3 linked regions of the Mus musculus genome follow. The protein of the gene in region 2 interacts with the protein of the main gene of each other region in a pairwise test. Links are inferred from orthologs where the notes say so. Each region holds a gene or a part of one and is shown on either strand. Other genes may lie near its edges. The genes, in order: Ccnl1, Prpf40a and Hnrnpul1.

Evidence for each region.
Region 1: the proteins of Prpf40a (region 2) and Ccnl1 interact in binary tests that used the Homo sapiens proteins (3 or more experiments, as listed by UniProt). The link is inferred for Mus musculus from reciprocal best matches to the Homo sapiens genes PRPF40A and CCNL1.
Region 3: the proteins of Prpf40a (region 2) and Hnrnpul1 interact in a two-hybrid assay, tested with the Homo sapiens proteins (2 studies listed by BioGRID and IntAct). The link is inferred for Mus musculus from reciprocal best matches to the Homo sapiens genes PRPF40A and HNRNPUL1.

What each region holds. Positions count from the first base shown.
Region 1 is NC_000069.6:65,955,206-65,960,489, reverse strand, and holds the start of Ccnl1 (cyclin-L1), read left to right. Parts: upstream 1-2,240; 5' UTR 2,241-2,361; coding exon 2,362-2,682; intron 2,683-2,914; coding exon 2,915-2,989; intron 2,990-3,527; coding exon 3,528-3,637; intron 3,638-5,213; exon of another isoform or gene 5,214-5,263; coding exon of another isoform or gene 5,264-5,284. UniProt on the Homo sapiens protein: Involved in pre-mRNA splicing. Functions in association with cyclin-dependent kinases (CDKs). Inhibited by the CDK-specific inhibitor CDKN1A/p21. May play a role in the regulation of RNA polymerase II (pol II).
Region 2 is NC_000068.7:53,188,008-53,193,186, forward strand, and holds the start of Prpf40a (pre-mRNA-processing factor 40 homolog A), read right to left. Parts: upstream 3,226-5,179; coding exon 3,016-3,225; intron 2,094-3,015; coding exon 1,962-2,093; intron 521-1,961; exon of another isoform or gene 441-520; intron 1-440. Other genes in the region: Arl6ip6 (ADP-ribosylation factor-like protein 6-interacting protein 6), read left to right, coding at 4,116-4,515.
Region 3 is NC_000073.6:25,720,139-25,724,221, forward strand, and holds the end of Hnrnpul1 (heterogeneous nuclear ribonucleoprotein U-like protein 1), read right to left. Parts: intron 2,860-4,083; coding exon 2,668-2,859; intron 2,226-2,667; coding exon 2,109-2,225; 3' UTR 1,023-2,108; downstream 1-1,022.

The sequences.
Region 1 (5,284 bases), on a different chromosome or scaffold from region 2:
TATATAACCTTCTATCCACCCAGAAGGCCGAGAGCAGATGTGACTAATAGCCTGGTGACCTTTTCTGCTGTGTGGCCAAGACCACATCAGATCTTTCTCCAGACCCGTATCATGAGCATGTCATTTACAGAATTGATCATTATGGAAGGTGTCTCATGTAGTGAATCTACAGAACCCATCTTTATGGAAGATGTCACGTGTACTTTACAAAGAGTTTTGATGGAGTCACACCTTAAACTTTATTGTCCACATGGAATTGAGTTAATTATCACCAAAAAAGTTTTCACTAAATTGTGCCGACCCTAATATATGCATAGAATTGCACATTGGTGGTGCAGCTATCCAAATCATTTCTGCTCCTTACCCATATTCCTGTAAGTAACCCTAATAAAACTCATTGGTTCACCAAGTTTGCACTCTGATGGTATCCATACTTTGGTCTGTGGTAGGTTCCCTATCTGAGGTGAGTAGTGTCTCACTAGGAAAAGTTTTGTCCCGACATACCTGTCCCCTGGACTTGTGTCTCCTATGCTGTCACAGAAAGTTTGGATATGAAATGCCTGCCACATACAGACCCTGTGAAGAGCTTGTCCTTAGTTAGTAGCACTGAGAGGTGATTTAATCACAAAGGCAAATACCTCATAAATGGGTTAATCCGACGATGAGGTCACAGCTGGACAAGCAATTAGGAGTTGGCAACCTACTTGAGGAGGGAGATCCCTGGATATATTCCCCTTTCTCTTTGTTGGTGGCAAGGGATTTGTTTTTACCAAGGTCTCACACCATAAAGTTCTGCCTACACAGTCCTACAGGTATAGGGCCACATGGCTGTAGCCTGAAACCTCAGAGACCATAAACCAAAATTAAACCTCATTGTGGACTTTCTAGGTAATCTGTCAGTGACAAAAAGCTATCACAATCATAAAATTTTTGTTTTTGAGGCTTTAGTTGAGTACTGGGATTAAAGGCTTGTGCCACCACTTCCTGCTCTATATAGCTTTTGTTTGGAAGAGGTTTTGTTTCATTTTGAAGATATTATATAGCTCTTACTGGCTTGGAATCAGTCTGACCCTCTAATCAGAGATCCACCTGTCTTTGTCTCCAGAGTGCCCGTCCCAACACACTTTGTAAAAATGAGCTGTGAAAATACCTTGCTTTGGTGACTAAGATGTATCCAAATTTTCAGTGCGCTCTATAGGTCCAAGGTTAAGACACTTTTCAAGAAAGTAAGCTTTAACAAAATAACAATTCCAACCCTTTGTACTGAGTCAGGAGATTTTTCTTTCTCCCTAAAGGCCATCTCAGAGGATTAAGCTGGAATAAAAAGATCATGGGAGGCCAGAGGCAGAAGGATCAATTGTTTCACGGTCGACCTCAGCTTTTGGGACTTTTAGTATGGATGGAAAAAGACCACAGCTCTCAGCCAGGCGGTGGTGGCGCACGCCTTTAATCCCAGCACTCGGGAGACAAAGACAGGCGGATTTCTGAGTTCAGGGCCAGCCTGGTCTACAAAGTGAGTTTCAGGACAGCCAGAACTATACAGAGAAACTGTCTCGAAAAAAACAAAAAAACCACAGCTCTCATCTTAAAGGGAATAAATGATGGGTTATCCTGGAGCCATTTTGATTGACCATGGTCCCGGAACACAGATTTAGGTTATTCCAAACTCCATGTAAGATGAGAGCTGTGTTTTTCTCTTCATTGACACAGGGATAGTTACTTTCTCTCCACTCTGACAAAAACCATCTCTTTAAGACGAGACTCCCCAGCGCAATGAAATCGCCCGTGTACTGTCCTCGCCATAAACCTATTTTTGGAACTAGGGATTTTCCAGATTACTGTAAACCCGGCGAAGTGAGGTCAGGGCTAGGCATGCCTTTCTAGGCTACACCCCGACACCCACGCGCGCTCGGAGCTTTCCGGAAACCCCAGGCGCTCAAACTGGGAAGCTGCCCGGTTCAGAGTCACTTTGTTACACTCCGGTGTCGCCGACCGCCGGACTGTCACCAACGCGCAGACCGTGCAGGGGTATCGGGGCCGACTCACCAGGCCAGAGTCCGGGTTATCCGGTGACTAAAGCCATTACCACCCCTGAGCCGCCAGCACCCTGCCCCGCCCTGCCCATCCGGACCCCTCCGCCCGGTGTCACCGACCGAAGCGCGGAGGAACTCGTTGGCGCGCGCGGGGAGTGGAGTGGGGTGGGGTAGGGCGTGTCGGCGTGGTGACGTCAGGGCGGAAGCGCACGCTGCGTGCGGCGGCCTGGAAGCCGGCGGTCACGGGAAGATCCGTCGCGCCGAGGACGCTGGTTAGTCTCGCTTTGGGTTCCGGCTGCGTCGGGCGTGCGTGGAGCTCGCTGGAACTATGGCGTCCGGGCCTCACCCGACCTCGACCGCTGCCGCCGCCGCCGCCGCTGCCGCCTCCGCCTCGTCCGCCGCCCCGAGCGCGGGCGGCTCCAGCTCCGGCACGACCACCACGACGACGACCACGACCGGAGGGATCCTGATCGGCGACCGCCTGTATTCGGAGGTGTCGCTCACCATCGACCACTCGCTGATCCCGGAGGAGCGGCTCTCGCCTACCCCGTCCATGCAGGACGGCCTGGACCTGCCCAGCGAGACGGATCTGCGCATCTTGGGCTGCGAGCTCATCCAGGCCGCCGGCATCCTCCTCCGGCTGCCGCAGGTGAGAACCCCGGCTGGTTGCGGGCCTCTCCGCCGCGGCCAGGTTTCTCCGGAGCCTGCGCCGGGCGGCGGCGGCGGCGGGAGCTCGGGCGGGCGAGGGTGGGGATGCGGGGGCGGGCGGCGCCGCGCGGCCCGGGCGGGGGAAGGGAAGCGAGCGGCCGCACAAAATGGCGGCGGCGCCTGGTGCGGGCCCGCCTGACCCCGGCGCTTCCGTTCTCCTCTCTCGTCTGCAGGTGGCGATGGCTACAGGGCAGGTGCTGTTCCATCGGTTCTTCTACTCCAAGTCGTTCGTCAAACACAGTTTCGAGGTAAGCGCGGCGGAGGCGGACAAGAAGGGATTTCTTCATCCGGAAGCGGGGAGGAAGGGGGTAGGAACCAGCTTTTCCAGAAAGGGAGTGGTTAGCTTAGGCCTTTGTACCTCGTTCCCACCCAGAAGGAAATGGGGCCCGTAGAGCAATGTTTCAAGAACTAGAAAATGGATCCCCAGTTCACGTGCTCTGTTAACCAAGAACTACGTTTTCAAGCCATTGCACAATTCTAGCAAGAGGTAGCTTGATTCTGACCCAAAATTAAGAGCAGTTGAGCAATAAAACGTAAGAGCTGGTCTAAAAATGTCAGCTTCGATTTTATTTCGCTAAAAAGCCCGTTGTATCCTAAAGAGGGTTCTTTGCCGGTCCTTGGTGACCCACATCCTTGGGCAGGCAGATGTACATACAGATGGAGTTCCTGGAAGCCAGGACTACACAGAGAAGCCCTATCTAAAAACAAAACAAAATAAGGGTTGTTAGACTTTGTTAAACTGTTTCTAGTTTAACTTCACTTGGATTTTTACCTGGGTTCTTTCAGATTGTTGCTATGGCCTGTATTAATCTTGCGTCAAAAATCGAAGAAGCGCCAAGAAGAATAAGAGATGTGATTAATGTATTCCACCACCTCCGCCAGTTAAGAGGAAAAAGGTAAGATTGGCCTGTTGAACATAGTATCTCTTGCTGTACTGTGCACCAATCATCCAGTCAAAACATCTTCTCCCCTCCCTCAAGTCAGTGTGGATGCAAAAGAAAGCGGACATTAGGTGCTGAAATTCACGTAGGAACATTGAAACTTTTAAAATCCCCTCCATTAACCAGCTATCTGAAGTTTGTAGAGACAGTTGCATTGTGGACAATTCTAGAGTGCTGTGAAGCCAGTCCCTTGGCTTAAGATTAAACAAGAAAGGGAGTACGGTTGGCTCAAGTGGGAGTGTATTCTGTAAGTTGTGTTTCCCCTCCCCTCTCTGGAAAACTGAAGGCTGGACATGTAAGCCCTGTAGTTCAAGTTAATGTTGTGGCAAAGTTCCGTGTAGGTCGTTTTTCTGCTTGGAGTCCCAGTTTCTTCATCAATTGAGGTTGGCTTTTGTTAGAGTACTTCTCAACATTGAACTACGATATATCGCATAATGCCGCATCTGAAAGGACTGGAGGATGATAAAGTTTGAAGTCAAAGGGATTGAACAGGTATTCTGTTTTGGTCAGATGTAGTCTCAGTGAGTTCCTTAGAAAAATAACTCATTGAGTTGCTTCAGATAGGGCTCTTTATTCGATCTTGTAAGAAAATAGAGTCTGAAACAGTATCTTTTAGGTGTAGTGATACCCTGGTAACTTTATGTGGGCCTATAAGGCAGTACCAAAGCTTGTTGCAGTACTCCAGGCTCTACAGGTGATTCTAGGACAGGCTGATGGATATTTGTGGTGTAGATTAGTTTCTAAGGAACTGTGAGCTTGGAAGGAATTTAGCTATGACAAGATAACCTGTTTTGGGAGTTGGGTGTTGCTTAGTCCTAATGCGTATTGAACATAGGTAGTCTTTATTGTGGAAGCTATAAGTTGGTGGTAGTGGAAGTTTGAAATGAGTAACACAGTCAATTTTTATAGCATTTTTTTCTCTATACTATTCAGCCCCATCTTTTCTAACTATGTGCCCAGATACAATTTCTTCTGTTTGAAAACATTTTTAGTTCTTTGTGAAGAAAGTTGAGAAATGGGGGAGTTTCAAATTAGTGTTTAGTATGTTCTGAGCTTATACTTGTATTTTAGATTACATGGCTGATTTTTTTTTTCAGGGTGTTTTTACAAAACACTGAAATACAGAATTCTTATTTTTAGTGAATAAAGGAACATTTTCTAGTAGTATATGAGTTGTTGAGCCAACTATAATCACATGATCGTTTGGTGTTTTTCTGTGGGACTTCTTCCTTCCTAGGTGTCAGAATAGGATCATCTTTTTATAAAACTTCAAAATTTAAAATAATTCAATCTGACTGGCTTGTATTGGATATAAACTTCATTTTTGATCATCATTAAAGAGAAATTGATTTTGTTTCAATGTTTCAAATTTGATTATAGCATGAAATTCTTAAAGAAGTTAATTGCATGGAAGCCCCCCTTTTAAAAGCAGGATATAAGTGTTTCTATGCATATTACAAGTTTACTCAGACATGTAACTTGTATATGTTATTAACTTCAACTCTTTTTTCCCTTGCAACCGACTATACAGCGACCAGCTACATTTACCAAAGCCTGGGTGATGTGGAGTGGTACATAGAGATGAAGCTGTCGTCATGGCAA
Region 2 (5,179 bases):
GGACCCATACTCTTAGGTAGGAAGTGGGCACTAGATAATGACCTAATTTTGAGAAAATAACAGCAATTTTCTTGAGACTTTCAGATCTGGTCTCCCAAAGTATTCATTATCCTCACAGAGGAAGAATGCTAAACATTTAAACAGTCAGGTGCACAGAACATATTAGACTAAAAAAAAAATTAATAATAGTAGAAAACCATGAAGCAAAAGTCAAAATATCTGAAGTGTGTAAGTATAAAGTAAACTAATTAGGAATATGGTCACTGGCACAGCTAAAGAGAAGGGGCCACAAAACAAACTGTGACCAGTGTATGCCAATTACTTAAAAAAATAAAGTAAAATCTGCACTGTACTAAAAATGAGTAGCTGGCATCTCAGGACTGCTAGTGCAACAGCACCGGGACAGCAAGGGTAAGCAGGCCAACCCCTTGCAAACTTACCTTGCCTGGCCCAATGGACACAGAAGGCCCCAGAAAAGAGAGAAGCGTCTGGCAGTAGCAAATTGTTTTATTTTATCTTTCTGTGGAAAGAAACTAATTTTAAATAAGAACCAGAGCATTAGAGAATAAATATTTTTTAAAGCTCATTATCTAGTTAGAGCAGCTCTACCAAGAAAACAAGAAGGGTTTTGTGCTGCTTAGAGATGGAAAGATACAGAAAAAGAATCAAGAGTTGTCTCTGCATATCCTAGGGAGTTTTAAAGTATTATTATTCGAGAGTAACAGAGCAAAAGAATCTTTTCTATAAGGAACTCCTGCAGGCAGAATCTTTTCAGTTTGGTGCCTTTGAATACAATTTTCTTATCCAAAATTAAGGGCTATATTCCAAATATAAAAGAAAACCACTTAACACTGAGCCATTCTACTCTTTAAAATAAAAAAAGCAAACAAACAAAAAAACACAAGTTCCTGTTTCCCCCTGTAATTTCACCAGTAACTTTAGCCTTCATTGCTCAAACCATCGTCAAACTCAATAGTACTCATTAGCAAAAGAAAATATACAACTGGCTTTCTAAAATATTCTGCTAATCAAAAATTTCATGACTTATCAAGATATTCAACTGGAATAACCCAGCCCACCTAAGAATCAGTGTATTATATAGAACCTAGCATAGGACAGAACTGTTGATGCACCTCAAGCTCTTGTCTTTCTTGACCACTTCTCTAGAAATTCTACCCGTGTTCCTGAGTCATCTTAAAACCTTTTAATCCAATCACTCCTACGAAAAAACGTCCATTTACGATTTGTGCTAGAGATTCAAGGGGCAACGCACAAGTAGGAGTATAGAAGCAATTATCATTCAAAAATTAAGTAGAAAATGAGCTACCTATTTGGCACTGTCCAGGAAAGAATTAGTAATAGAGCAGAAAATCCCTCCGCACCCCAAACAAGAGGAAGATACTCCAAGAATAAAATTCATTCTACATGAAAACCCCAAGTAACTACTATTTTTCTGATGCTAGGCTTTACACATTCACCACGATTATCTTCTGATATATATTTACTCCTAGACCATTAATAATTATAATGCCTGAAATAAAGTCACTAAGTTAAATAGATTAGATGTATACTCTCACTTTAAATTATTTGCTTGGTTTTCCAGATAGGGTTTCTCTGTCTTGGAACTCAGTCTATAGATCCAGGCTGGCCTTGAACTCAGAGATCTAACTGCCACTGCCTCCCAAGTGCTGGGATCAAAGGCGTGCGCCACCACAGCCGGCTTATTTTTTTTAAAGCTTAATTTTGTTGAGGAAGTCAGTTAATTTTTTCTCATACAGTCTTACTACATTCAAAATTTGGTTACAGACATGAGCAATGTAATGTTTTGTCTTGTTTGAAGACATTACGTGGATATAAACTAACCTTTAAAGGGCTGCAAGTACACCACTGACTTACATCTTAAATACATCTCGACACACTCAAACAAAACTAAGCAAGCCAAAGGGAAAGCGTCTTCTTACTTGTCCCATTGGAGGCCCTCCCATAGGGGGCATCATCTGTGGCATCATTCCATGAGGTACAGGAGGCATGTTTGCTCTCTGACCCATAGGGTGCATGCCCATTGGTGCATAATGCATGCCAGGATGCCCCATCTGAAAAATAATAAAAAGGGAGAGTGAGAGACAGTTAAATGCTTCTTTAAAATGTCATTTCAAAAACAACAACTAAAACCCATCAATTAAGGCACAATATTAAATCACTGTGATTAAATTACAGTATTAGCATATACTGAAGTTAATCTTAATTACACTACAGTGATTATTAGATGGGGCCTGAAAATTTACAAAATAATGGAAAAGTTAAACCCATTAGCGGATTACAACCCCTCTCCAATGACTTAACAAACTGTTAAATGACTGGTCAGACTTGGTGACTATGTATTGAATTCCAACTTAAAAAATTATTACGATGAACACAACTTCCGTCACCTTTATACACATAACCAGCTTATACTACTTAAAATTACATTCATATGGACAAGACCTAAAACAGAGTGCGGGTACCCAAGAGTACTTCACAAATGTTTTAATAGAGTTAAACTGTCCCAGACACTAACAAATTCATGCCGTTTTAGGGAGCTTAAAATATAATACTTCCATTGTTCCTGGCTTGAAACTAAGTATCCGCAGCCAATTCTCCCAACCGAATCCCCCAAGCCCTGCAAATCACCACCACTCCCGGAGAAATAAGACCGCAGCAGCCGCTCCTTAAGTCCCACAGACTTAAGTGTCCCTACTGTAAGTCAAGCCTGGGGCTCTCAGATGCACAGTCCGCCCGGGGCCCAGCACCTTCCTTCTTCCTAAGGCATCTATCTACCTAGGCCAAGACCACTGGCAAGTCCAAGGTCCCACCTATTTCTTTGTGTGTTCCCGCCCTCCATCTCTCCCCCTTGGGACGTAGCCCACCATCTGCAGCTCTCTTCCTGATATGCTCTTCTCCGTTTGGAGAGAGCTTCCTGTTTCTCTGACTCGGTTTTTCATTGTGCCGCTTTCCCCTACCCCGCCGATCCCTTACCGAGGGCCGTCTCCTCAGGAAGCCGTCAGCAGAGACCCAAGAACTGGAGCACAGGTTTGAGCCGGACAATCTCCGCTCCCCGTCCCCGGGACCCCGCGAGGGAGGTTGGCTCTCCATTTCACTCACCATGAGGCCTCCACGCTCGGCTCCAGTCCCCGGCCTCATCGTCGGGCTCAGACTGCTCCGTCGGCGGCCACTGCCGCTGCACATACCAACAAGAAGCGATCTGAGTGGCTGGCGCCCGCCGGGGCCAAAGGGTAAAGGCTGCCCTGAGCTGCGGGGCGGGATCAGCGGGGCCAATAAACTGACAGGCTTCCCTACTGTCCAATCAGAGCGCGAGACCGACAGGCAGCTCTGCGGCGATTCGCCCCCTGCCTCGCTCGGCGTCGCCTGCATGGAGGGGGGGGGAGGGGGGACGGAGGAAGTTTCTGCGTCGAGTGCTCTGCCGGGGAAACTCTACCAACTTCCCCCAGGAAAGGGGACACGGCGGGGACCCAGATTCCCGGGTTCGGGCCACCGCACCCCGTCGGGGGGTGGGGCAGTGGCGTCCAGCCCCTCGCCCTAGTTACGTTCGCCCCACAAACCTGAGGCCACCAGGGGTGGGGTGGGGGTGGGGCGGGGGAAGCGGCACCCGGCGTTAGCGGCCTAGTGCGCGCGCGCGCGGTTGCCCTGGGGAGGGGGTCGTGCCTTTGGGGGTGGGGGGGAGAAACTCGAGAGCTGCGCGCGCGCCCGGCATAGTGAAGGGCGGAGGCGCGAACTGTATCTGGCGGGGAGCGGTAAAGACAGAGATCTCTCGCCCGAGGGAGGAAGCGACTGGCGGTTAGGAAGGCGCGGAACTGCGGTCATGGGGCTCGAGAGGTGCGTGCCCACAGGACCCGAAAGGGTGGAATAAATGAGAGTGTTGTCGCGGCGGGCCATGGGCGCGCGCTCCCACGGCGCCTCCGGAAGCGGAGTCCCCGGGTAACCCGCTCTTGCACTCCCCTACGGTTCTGCGCGCGGTGGTTGGGTCCGCCGACGGCCGTCTCTGATTGGCTGTAGCCGGGGCGGGGCGTGGCGGTGGTGGACAGCCGACCTTCGCGGGACTCTCAGTCTTTCCCGCCATGTCGTTCGTGGAGAGTTGGAGGTTTGCGGGCGCGCGGAGGCGCCGTCAGGTTACCCCAGGCCCTGCGACTCGGCCCGGGTATTCCGACTACACTCAGGGGGACAGCTGGGGTGAGGGCGAAGGCGACGAAGACGAGGGATGCGACCAAGTGGCCCGCGACTTGCGGGCAGAGTTCTCAGCCAGGGCGTCGTCGGAGACCAAGAGGGCCCCGCTACTCCCCCGGGTCGGGGACGGGTCTCCGGTCCTGCCGGATAAGCGCAACGGCATCTTCCCGGCCACTGCGGCCAAGCGAACCCAGGCTCGGCGGTGGCCCATCCAAGCCCTTTCCATTCTCTGTTCGCTGCTGTTCGCCGTCCTCCTTGCTTTCCTTCTCGCCATCGCCTACATGATCGTTAAAGGTATTGAAGCCCAGGCCTTGAAAGGCTGTCCAGCGTAAAGTGCAGCCAGTACATCACACGCCCCCATTCACACTCTCCTCCCAAAGCGTTCCCTCGAGACTGCTATCGTCCCTTTTGTCTTCTCTCCCTAGATGGACGTCCTTGCTCCGTCATGAGACCCATTTAGAAAAGATCTTTGGCTAAATCTACAGTCTTTAATGCCGTAAAGGCATTGAACACTTTGAGTTGAAACAGCAGAGCCCCTTACTTTTAAAAGGATCAAAAAAGTACGTGTAAGAAAGTACTGCTGTACGTCCTAAGGCTGATGTTAAGAGACATGCTGGGTTTGCACTGTTCTCTGAACCTAGGACAAGGATCCCCACCCCCACCCCATCCCAAGTTTCTACTTTTCTCTCTCTCTCTCTCTTTCTTTCTTTTTTTCTTTTTTGAGACAGGGTTTCTCTGTATAGACCTGGCTGTCCTGGAACTCACTTTGTAGACCAAACTGGCTGGCTTTCTTTCTTTCTTTTTTTTTTTTAATATTCTTTTTTAAAAATTTTTATTAGATATTTTCTTCATTTACATTTTAAATGCTATCCTGAAAGCCCCCTATACTCCCCCCCCCCCCGCCCTCTCGCCCTGCCCCCCTACCCACCCACTCCCACTACTTGGCCCTGGCATTCCC
Region 3 (4,083 bases), on a different chromosome or scaffold from region 2:
CAGCTGCATCACCAGGAATGGCCAGCAGAGGGCGATGCTGCCCAACACACATATGCCAAGAGCAGCATTTCCCAGGCTAGGGACAAGGACCCCTCCTTACCTTCTCCTAGAGCAACTTGACAAGTGTCTCTCCTCCCCTTCCCCCCTCCCCCAGACAGGGATTCTCTGTATAGCCCTGGCTGTCCTGGAACTCAGAAATCCACCTGCCTCTGCCTCCCAAGTGCTGGGATTAAAGGAGCGTGCCACCACAGCCCAGTGACAAGTATCTTTTAGGCACCGACATGGTCCCCCCTCAGCCTTGCATCTACTCCCTCCTGGTGTCTAGCCATGTTGCACCTAGGTCCTGGGGCACTGTAAGTGGTATGCATACCTTTGGATACAGGCTCTTGTCACAACCCCCAGCTTCTTTTGATAGGTTGTGGCTCTTCAAAGGCTCCCTAGTTTCTACAAGGGAGCTGGGCGAGCTGCCCACACACTGCATCAGATGTGAAAAACACAGCTTGCACAGGAGAAATGAAGCTAGAAAGGACAGTGGGCTAGAGTCCCACCCCACAGCTCACCCTGCATTTTCCTCTTTTCCAGAAAGCCCTGCCTATTACTTCAGGGTCTCTCTAAATGCTTGGCGCTGTAACTGGTTACAAATTTGTATTCCCTAGAGGAGGAACTCCAAGAAGAGGGGCTAGGGTCATTTCTGCAGTGCTCACATCCCTAGAACTGTTCAGGATGATAGGTAGGGAAGAGTAGGCAGCCAACACCTGCACAGGTGGCGGTACAGGGCCACCCTGAGAGCAGCATCCAGGCTGGACCTTAGGGTAGGTTGGGCAACACACCCGGAGAGGGGCCTGCGCCAGCATAGTCTCATTCTTACAGCTCTCACCTGTCTGTCCCTGCACAAGGAGCATCTGGGTTATGTGAAGTACAGACCCACTTTGTTTAAATAAATGATCGAGGCATTTCCCCTTCAAAGGTTCCCATCCCAATTAAAGGCCAACTGCAGTAACACTTCAGGGTTTCAACCCTGCTTCCTTCCTGATAAGAGGTGCCATGTCATTTATTGAAAGAAAACAAAACAAAACAGGGTAAAACATCTTGTAATAAGTGCGGTTTGCTAAGGTCCGGTTAGAACATTCGGGAAGTGAGAGTAATCAAAAGGACCACTGTAAAACATTGCAGGTCTGGCACCTGGAAGAGCAATGGAGGTGGAGGTGGTGGTGGAGGTGGAGGTGGTGGTGGTGGTGGTGGTGGAGGAACTTTAGGGTCTAAAGGGAAGCTGGCCCCACCCCCACCTTCCCTTCACCCTCTCACCCGCTTATGCCCACCAGAAACTACCACGACTCCTGGAGTAAAAGGTTTCAAGTTCAATAGTCACACTCTCTCCAAGTACAAAAAGCAGTTACAATCCAACTGAACAGACGCTTGTGTGCAAAGTTACGGGGAACTGAGACATCATATAAAAAGTTAGGTTAAAGGTGATTTTGTTGTTTCGAGGGTGTGGCTCTTCCTCGGTTACCTGAACTCAGCAAAGAAATGGTTATTTGATGAAGTATCAACGGCTGACCCACAGTAAAAACAGACAAATTCTAAAAATTAAAAAAAAAAAAAAAAAAGCATAATTACCAAAAAAAGTCAATGCTTCCTCCCTCTGCAATTTGCTTCTTAAACTTTTTTTTTTTTTAAAGTTTTTGAAAAAAATTTTTTTTAAATCCTGAAAAGTAGACAGAAAAACAGCTCCTGGAAGAATTTACAACCAACTGCATGAGAGTCTGGGAAGCCAAGGGGCTAAAAAGCAGAGTAGGGAGGGGCAGACAGGCAAGGCTCCTCCCCAGTCACTGTGGCCTCACAAGGGAGGCTTCTTTAGCTAAGAAGGCAGGGGAGGAGGAAGTGGAGGGACAAAGATAAAAGAAAAGCTCACTGTTGCCTGTTGGAATCCAGAGAGGAAAATGCCTGGCCTGTATGAAGAGAGAAGCTCCTCTGGAAAAAGTGGGCTAGAGAGAGGCAGCCCTGGGATAACTCTGTCCCCAGCACCACAGGACTCAGAGGGGAAAAAGGGGCCAAGGCAGGTGCTATTAGAAGCAGCCGGCACGAGCCTCTGAAGGCTCCAGCACCGGCTACTGTGTGCTTGTGCCCCCCTGTGTGCTGCCCGAGTAGCCTCCATAGTCGTAGTTCCCGTAGTATGGCGGCCACTGGCTCTGGTTCTGATAGTACTGGCTCCACTGCTGGGCATACTGGGGGAGAGAACAAGAATATCAAGTTATCTCTTGCACTCCAGACTGTCCCTTCTCTCCTTTTGTGGTCCACCCTCATCACATGGGTTCTTTGACAGAAACCAAAATGCTTTGGAAAGGTAAGGGGTGACTTGATGTCACATAAATGGGAAAGCAGTCTTGGTCTTGTGGCTTGCTGGCTGGCTGTCCTTTTCAGGTGTGGCAGCCCCAGCACCAACTTGGAATGGAACTTGGCACCCCTTGGCTACGTTGGAGGCCTAGCTTAGCTAGGAAGGTTTGCTGCACTGGGGTCCAGGGCTACACATCGGCCATTAAAGACCAGTTTATCAAAAGCCTGAGACAAGCAGCTGCCCATATTTCAGAAACAGGCAGGAACCCAAATCTGAATGCACACCCAAGAATGCTCCCAGAAGCCTTACCGGAAGGCCCATCTTGTACTCACCTGCTGATACTGGTTATAGCTGGGCTGAGGGTAGGTCTGGGCAGTTGGGGGTGGTGGGGGTGTATAGGGGGCAGGATTGTAGGGGCCATAGCTCCCATAGTTGTAGGCAGGTGGTGGCGGAGGTGGAGGTGGTGGGGCTGTGTAGCCCTGGGTGTAGCCTCCTTGGTTGTAGGGTGGCTGGCTGTAACTCGGCTGAGTAGAAAAAGGCAAACACTCCATGAGACAGACAGCACACATTGGTATGCACACAGGTTCCTGGATGGAGGCAAGTCTGTTCTAAAGTGCAAGGATGGGTCTGGGAAGCAGCTGACCCTAGGCTGAAACCCGAGAGCAGCAGCACACAAGGCAGTTCAAAGACCTGCTTCACAGTCTACAATGTCAGCCTGGTCTCGCTCTTGGTGTGCCTTGGTAGTTCAATAAGCTTGCATGCACAAAGTGCTGGGTACTCAGGAAATGGTGGCAAATGGCCACTGTGAGAGCTGCTGAGAAAAGCAGTGGTGACAAGATGCTAGGAGCCTTTCATGCAGAGTGGATCAGTAACCCATTCCATCTCATCAGCAAGCCTGGCATATTCACTAGCTTTATTTTAGAGATGGAAGCTGAGGCTGGGGCTGGAGAGATGGCTCAGCGGTTAAGAACACTGACTGTTCTTCTAGAGGTCCTGAGTTCACATGCCAGCAACCACATGGTGGCTTACAACCATCTGTAATGGGATCTGACTCCCTCTTCTGGTGTGTCTGAAGACAGCTACAGTACATACACATACATACATACATACATATTTAAAAGAGTACTGGTTGCTCTTACAGAGGCTCCAGGTTCAGTTCCTAGCACCTACACAGTAACTCAACTGTCTATAACTCTAGTTTCAAGGAAGCCAATATCCTCTTTTGACCTCTGCAGGTACTGCACACAGGTGGGGCACATACAAACACATATAAACACACACACATAAAGTAAATTTAAAAAATAATGAACTCTAAAAAGAAAATCTAAGCGAGGTTGTTGGGCCAAGTCACACTATTAGAATGACTAACCCAGGTCTGCCCAGTTCCAGAGGCTTCATTAAGCTACAGTCCCCATCACCTCACAGAAACTTCACAAGTGATTCCTAGTAATGTTTCTGTCCTTTATGTGGAAACAAGGACCAGAAGGGTCAAGCTGACTGTCCCAGGTCAAAGTCAGGTTCTGTTGGAGCTAGCGCTGAACTTAAGTCTTGCCAAACTCTCATTCTAGGAAATGTGCTGGCTGGGTGGCATCTAGGAGCACTCATCTGCTCCTGGCAAGTGTTCCCAGCTGCTCCCTGGCATGTAATGGGTACTCAGACAGCTGTGAAATAAAAGAGATGGCTTCAGTTCACCAGAACCCAGGCACTGGCTTCCTAAGAAATGGAACAGGGTCTGGAGCTATTAAGGG